Rattus norvegicus: one gene and its partner. The protein of the gene in region 1 interacts with the protein of each later gene in a pairwise test. Links are inferred from orthologs where the notes say so. Each region holds a gene or a part of one and is shown in the gene's direction. Other genes may lie near its edges. The genes, in order: Ccdc116 and Bex3.

Evidence for each region.
Region 2: the proteins of Ccdc116 (region 1) and Bex3 interact in binary tests that used the Homo sapiens proteins (3 or more experiments, as listed by UniProt). The two-hybrid records come from large-scale screens. The link is inferred for Rattus norvegicus from reciprocal best matches to the Homo sapiens genes CCDC116 and BEX3.

Annotation. Positions count from the first base shown.
Region 1 is NC_086029.1:97,348,781-97,352,696, forward strand, and holds the start of Ccdc116 (coiled-coil domain-containing protein 116), read left to right. Parts: upstream 1-996; 5' UTR 997-1,106; exon of another isoform or gene 1,107-1,110; intron 1,111-1,219; 5' UTR 1,220-1,287; coding exon 1,288-1,359; intron 1,360-2,261; coding exon 2,262-2,810; intron 2,811-2,914; coding exon 2,915-3,916.
Region 2 is NC_086039.1:104,063,606-104,067,009, forward strand, and holds Bex3 (protein BEX3), read left to right. Parts: upstream 1-1,290; 5' UTR 1,291-1,364; intron 1,365-1,400; exon of another isoform or gene 1,401-1,636; intron 1,637-1,719; 5' UTR 1,720-1,798; intron 1,799-2,150; 5' UTR 2,151-2,178; coding exon 2,179-2,571; 3' UTR 2,572-2,820; downstream 2,821-3,404. UniProt on the Homo sapiens protein: May be a signaling adapter molecule involved in NGFR/p75NTR-mediated apoptosis induced by NGF. Plays a role in zinc-triggered neuronal death.

The DNA of each region.
Region 1 (3,916 bases):
CTTTGTAATGGTTGGAGGCCTCGGAGAACGCTTCAGCCAAATTCTTGGCATAAACACTGCTGTGTCTGATCATAGTGATTGCTGAACCATCCAGTGTCATTCAACCACTGGGCCTCTCTGAGAAGCTGCTCTTGGGAAGGCCAGAGGCCATGGGACCCTGAGAACCACAGATTGGGAAGAGAAAATTAAGCATTTACTTTATGTATGAGGAATGGAGTTATTAGGGACTAGGGTTCACTGCTTTGATTCCTGCCCTACACGGCCTAACAGTACAGCTGTTAGACAAGAAAGAAACAATGTGGCAGTGGAGGATGGACTTGCTGTGGATATGTTGGCAATGACAGGCTTTCTAGGATGAAGGGAGAAGGAAAACTGTAGAAGTGAGTTTATATGGACTTTAAGGTGCAAAATGTGTTGTAATACTCATTTGTGGAAGGGTGCTCAGCTCCATTATGAGGAGCTGGTGTTAAGGGACTAAGTCATATCAGCAAGAAAAAGCAGGGACAGGAACTAGGCTGTGCAGAAAACCAGGACTCTTCACTTAAAAAGGAAGATGAGGGGCTAGTCCACGCTGCACCAATGAGGGAATGGGGTCCTAAGAGGAAGACAACGAGTAGGAGGTCCAGGAATGAGCTGAGGAAGATGTTTGAATAACAAGTTGAGGCTATCACTTTCACCCTGAGGATTAGACAAGCCCCAGATTCAGACCTCTTGGCTGAATAAAGTCTTATCTATAACCATCCCCAAGCGCTACTTACTTAGCTGGCTTGACTTAAAAATCCAGCAAGGTGGGGGAGGAGCCAATCTGGGCCCCTCCCCCAACCATTGTGTCGGGGAGGATAGTGAATGAGAGGCCAGATTCTGGCCAATCAGGATGAGGTATGTAAATGAGCATCCTGGGAGGCTGCGAGGGTAGGATTCCAGTGCACTGTGCGGTAGAGCTTTAAAGGGTGCTGAATGAGTGAACCCCTAGAAGCACAGCAGAGACTCTGGTAAGCAGGTTGGGGGCTCCAGGATGCCTCAGGTCTGAAAGAAAGAAGTCTGGACACACATTTGGACCCAGACACAGTTGCAAACAAAAGGCAGTGACTTGGGAATGTCCACAGATAAGTGACCAGTCCAAGCAGGGAAAGTTGGGACGTCTGGAGGACACAAGTACAGGGAATGAGGGGTCCATGGAGGCCTGGACCTAACTTTACTTCCTCTCTCCGCCCCATACAGAGGAGTCTGCATCTGTGCTGTAGGACCTGAAGAAGGAAGCAGAAAACAAATTTAATTATCCACATCATGGCAAGGTGCCGCCACCACTCAGGTTATCTGGCTGACGACGAGGCTGCTCACGGCACCTATGTGGCTCGGGTAAGTATATCCAGCTGACCCACCACTTGCTGCTGCTTTCTCATGTCCAGCTGATCTTACTGGGTCACTTGGTGAAATCCTTACTGTAGCGTCGCCTTACCTTATGCCTGCTTGCTGAGCCACTCCCCTTGGCCCCAGATAGTACTTGGGTGGACCAGGAGCCCTGAGAAGGAGCGTACAGGACTCAAGCTGGAGACACAGAATCGAGTCCTCAAGTGTAGCACAGCAATGAAGACAGTGTAGACCTTTGCTAGAGCCTGAGGGCGGAGGGCTCCCATAATTGCCTTTTCATACCACGAACACAGAACTCCACTTTCAGACTCCCAACTAGGGCTGGCATATATGAAATAGAGGCATTGGGAAACCTTCAGGGCAACCCTAATAGACCTGTAATTTGAAGAGAAGCCCTCGAAAAGGGCTGTTGTGAGCATAGTCATAGATCCTGAAGATAGCAGAGCTGGCTGGGATTCAAACTCAGGATTACCCGATTCTAAAATGTAACTCAGGGCTGGTGAAGTATCTAAGTGGGTGAAGGCACTTTGAGTCAAGACTGATGATCTGACTTGGGGATGATCAGTTTATCCCCAAGATCCACATAATAAAAGGAGAGAACCAGTCACACCAAATTGTCCTTTGGCTGCCATACCTGCACTGAGGCATACCTACATGCACATGTACCCACAAGTAATTGTTGAAAAAAATTTTAAGTGTAATTTAGTGGCTGAACATTTGCATATCATGTTCAAGACCCTGGGTTTAATTCCTAGCCTCGAGAAACCTTAAAGAAAAAAGTTTTCCACTGTTCAATACCAACCAGCTCCTAATGGCACCCCGGGAGGACTGCTCCTCACCCATTGCAGGGCATCCTGCCTGTTATGACAACCCTCTCTGTTCCAATATAGCTGCCCAAGAAGCATCTGTTGCCAGAGATGAGGCCAACTTGCAAGCTTGGGCGTGTACCACACCTACCATCAATGAACCGATACTCAGAGCGCCAGGGCCACCAGCAAAACCTTAGGCGCCCTCGGGCATTTGGTGGCTTCCTGGATTTCCTCACGGAGGGTCAGGTACTGGACAGCTTGCAGACAGTCGTGGAGCAGGCAACAGAATGTGTGGCTACCATGAAGACAGAGGCTGGAGTGCCACTGGTGGATGTACAAGACCGAGTGGAGGTGCCAAATAGTAGGCATCGTTCTCGAGGCAGACCCAGCATCAACACTGTGCATCGGCACCGTGCTCGGCCCACGCTGTGTGCTGGACACCCAAACAATTACCCATCTTGCTCCAGCTCCATGTCTGACTCCCATAGCAGCGTCACAGCTGGATGGCTGGGGTCCCGCAGCCAAGACAGTGACCTGGGTGCCAGAGGCGTAGGCTCATTGCCACCCATGAGGGACAAACTCCTGCTTGAGAAAAACCTCAAGAGGCTGCTACGACTGGAAAGCAAAGGGGTGAGGTCTGGTGCCATGGCTAAGGCTAGCAGAAGGTGGGCGTGAGATTAGCGGCTAGGGCTCCGCCTGCTTGGATCCCTCTTAGCTTTTCTTTCTCTTTGCAGAAAGTTCTGAATCAACACTGCTCCCAGAGGGATTCCCTGCTATGGGACTCACTGGGCAGCCAGAGCAGCAGTCAGCCGACCCGGGAACAGCCCCTGTCTTGGTTCTCTGGGCTTCTGGCCTCCACTTCAGTCACCCCTGAAACTTCAGAGTTGGGACTCGGAGAACAAGAGATGATTTTCCTCAAACAAGAATTAAACAAGGAGATAAAGTCACTGCTGAACCAGCCAACCTCCTTCAACCTGCCTACCTATTGTCCACTCAGGGAACCCCATCGTACCCTGGATTTCCTGTCTGAGCACCACCTCTTTCCAGCCCTGCAGCGTGTGGTCAGCCAGGCTGTAGACAAGCTGAGCCATGCCTGCCGCCACAATGGCTTCCCCCTCTTCCCTGTTACCTCAGAGCTGTCTCCAGTGTTTCCTGGGAACTCCGATCTTCAACCCAGCTCTAAGGCTTCCTTACCCACCGACAGGGAGGCTAGGGGAGAGACTTGTTATTCTCCCACCTCGGCCTCCAGCCCTAAGACATCTCACAGAAAAAGCAAGGACAGAAGGGGCTCCCCATCTAATGCAGTCCAGATGGCTACCAGATTCAGGCTCAAGGTGACACCTACAGAAGTCTCTAATGTCCCTATCCCCTCATCCCAGTGCATGCTGAAGTCTCCTAACTCTGACCTCAAATTGCAGAAACAAACTACAGCCTCAAACCACAACCATATACCTCAGCCCCGCCATGGCCTGCACCTCACCCTGCCTGCCCCTGGGATCACAGTGGAGGTGGCCTCCTGCCAGGGCCAACTCAGGGGCCAGGTCCAGCATAGTCTTGCCACTCCCTGCCATCTCCACTCCCATTTCCCTTTCCCTGTGTTCTCCCCATTCCTTCCCCTGGGAAAAAGCTTTTCCACTTCCCCTCCTACACTGTGTCCTGAGGTGTCCTCCAGAGCAGGGCTGGAGGTCTTGGAGGGACATTTGAAGGGAAGGGGCTGCTTCACCCATCACTTCTAG
Region 2 (3,404 bases), on another chromosome or scaffold:
TTACGGAGGAACTTCTAGATATTTTATATTTCTCAGCTCATTAAATATTTATAGGGCGGTCTGAAAGGTTTGGAGAGGAAAGCAAAGAATTAAAATGGCTCTTTTTCCTGAGGTCTATGAAATAAGAGATATATCATATAACACCAGGCCTTGGGTGGCAGAAGGAGGAGGCAGAGGTAGGGAAGATCACCCCAAGTTTGAGGCCTGTTAAATATAGCTAGCTCCAGTCCATTAGGGACTACATACTGAGAACCTGTCACGCACACCAAAAATTCATATAAAATGATGACTTCTCTCTGTAGAAACCATTCCAGACCTGTTTTAAAGCATTAGTTTGTATTCAGCAAGAGTCTTTTATTTTTAAATAAAAGATTGAAACAGACTAATACAATGTGTTTCAAAACTGACATGCAAAACTTAGAGAAGATATTTTCTGCTTGATGGCATAAGCAGCATTTTGTTTTCATTTTGCAGAATGAAGCATTTCTTTCAAAACTGAAAACTCACCAGCCTTGGTAGTGCAGGCCTTTAACCTTAGCTACAAGGGAAGCTGACATAGGAGGACTGAAATTCAACAACATAGACAGGCTTTTTTTTATGTTTAAGTAGTGTGTGTATTGGGGGGCAGGGGTTGAAGCGCTTTGTAAATACACCTCAGGAGATGAGAGCTTCTCCAGCAATTATTAAACTAGAGAATCAATCCCCAGCATTTCAGAAAGAAGTGGTCCTTATAATTTTGAATTTTCTAAAGCATGCTGATCGTGTGTGTACTCGCGCATGCATCCCTGCGCGGGGACGTGTACGTGTGTGTGTGTGTGTGTGTGTGTGTGTGTGTGTGTGTGTGTGTGTGTGCGCGCGCGCGCGCGCGCGTGTGTTTTAAGGAAATAAAGAGAAATATATACAGTCTATCCCACTCTCCACCTCCTGGTGTCTCATGGGGAGAAATCCTGGAGAAAACATTTGTATAAGGTGGAGAGGAATCTCAAAGAAGGCCAAAGCCAAGACCTGGCTATAGTGGGAGGGAGAGATGGAGGATGGTGCAGACTCTCCCTGGTAACAGGGAAGGGAGATGTCCAACCTCCTGACGGTGATGCCACTTGTGGTTCCTCAGATTGGTGCGGATCCGGATGAGTGACGGGTGGGGCCCGAGGTGAGCGCTGGCGGCGGGCGGCGGGGGCGGGGCCTCCTGTCGCACTGGCCTCCTGAGCTGGGGGAGCGAGCTTGGCAGTGACGCGAGGCCCTCACGTGACCCGGGGCTGCAGAGCGACGCAGCCTTGGGTGCAGTCGTCACTCGCGTCTGGCCACCAGCTCAGAGCTTGTCTGCGCGCGGCGGGCTGGCATCGGGCCCAAGGCGAGCGGGGCAGGTAAGGGGCCTGCACGCAGCGGCCCTGAAGGCGACAGCCAGGCGTCGGGCGGGCGCGCACCCCGGGACGGTGCAGCGGCTCGGCGGCTTTGTGCATCGCGGAGGGAACCCCGGCTGCGTCCGGGAAGGGGCGCCCCCGCTCAGGGGCGGGAACGGCGCGGGGGTCCCGGGAAAGGGGCGGCTGGACCTGCCGGCCTGCGGGCAGCGGAGAGCGCTAGCCAGGGAGAGCCGGGATGGGGCAGGGCTGCTGGAGATCGTGGGCGACCGCTGCGGGTAGGGGGATGGGCGGTGGGTCTGGGGAAGGGGGTGCGGTGCGGAGCCCGCGCCGAGTCCTTCCCATCCCACCCCGTCTGCAGGTCTGCTAGCCGGGAGTCGCGGAGGCGCGTCTCGCAGAGAGGATTGAGAGGAGGACTACGCGGCAAGGGATAGGCCCAGGTCCGTTCAGGGGCAGTGTGTGTTTTGTTGGGGGTAGGGGGAAGCCCCGTCTAGGACCCCAGTGAAAACCCCCACCTCACACTACTCTCCATCTCAGTCCTCCATTTTGGTGCCTCAAAGCTCAGGGAAAGGATCCTGGGAAATAAAAATGGTGGGCTTTGGGGGAGGGAGGGAAAAGAGAGCTGGGGGGTGGGAGGAGGGACTCGAAATGGAGGTTCCGTAGAGGTTGCCTGGAGACCCTAAGATGGGGAAAAATAATAATGAAAACCCTTGCAGTTAGTCTCTGAATTTTGCTGGTCACAGCACCAAGCATTCAGTTTTTTTCCTTGCCCTCTCTTACTTGTGTTCAAAGAATAACAACCCGAAAACAAAATCTCATCATGGCCAATATCCACCAGGAAAACGAAGAAATGGAGCAGCCCCTGCAGAATGGACAGGAAGACCGCCCCGTGGGAGGAGGTGAGGGCCACCAGCCTGCTGCAAACAACAACAACCACAACCATAACCACAACCACAACCACAACCACAACCACAATCATCACCGGAGAGGACAGGCCCGCCGACTTGCCCCTAACTTTCGATGGGCCATTCCCAACAGGCAGATGAATGATGGGTTGGGTGGAGATGGAGATGATATGGAAATGTTCATGGAGGAGATGAGAGAGATCCGGAGAAAGCTTAGGGAGCTGCAGTTGAGAAATTGTCTGCGTATTCTTATGGGGGAGCTCTCTAATCACCACGACCATCACGATGAATTCTGCCTTATGCCTTGACTTCGGTCATTTCCCCTGAGATTCATACTGTGATTCCCGCTGTATTCCTAGCCCTTGCATTTTCCTGACATGCCTTTAAATGACCCGTTTGTGGTGAGCCTTGTGTTATTTCCATGTGCCAGGCGGGGCTTGTGTTGCCAACTTATAATTGGAAATTGCCTTCCCACTCAGTGTGAGTTTCTGTCAACAGTACAGTGTTGCCCATTTGCATGGAAAAAATGTAAAGTCAATAAAGCAACTGAAAAGCAACCTGGGTAATCATTATTGTCTCCTTAAAGCATAAATACCTAGAGTAAAAAATGAGCTACAAAAACTCTGAAAGTGTTGGGGGGACACGTATAACTTTCCTTTTATTTGGGGCTTCATAAACTTTTGGGGTATAAGTTTATGAATCTAGTGCAGGTTTATAGAATTATTTGCTCAACAAACTTAAAGAGTAAATCCTCTTGGTGAAGATAGAATTTCTTAAAATTGTCCAATATGGTTTAGATTTTTAAGCCCCCAGCCGTCCCTAAATAGTTGGGGTAAACTGAGGAATATCTTCAGATCTTGTCCATTTTCCCAATTCCATACAGGAAAAGGAGGTGGGTTCCTCCATGTCATCTGTATGCTGCAATCCTTTTTCGGTTACAGGTATGCGATTTGGGTACACATTCCCTTCTGAATCTATACCTATAGGCCTTAGCACAGCTCAATTTGACTGAAGTATGTAGTGAGAGGTATGATAGGGTAGAAAAACGTCTATAGCTTGATATCCAGGTGAGTATAACCCCTGTGGTTCTTGGCTCTTAAGAAAATAGCCCTATCTGGCTATATTTTTTGTGTTACCATTC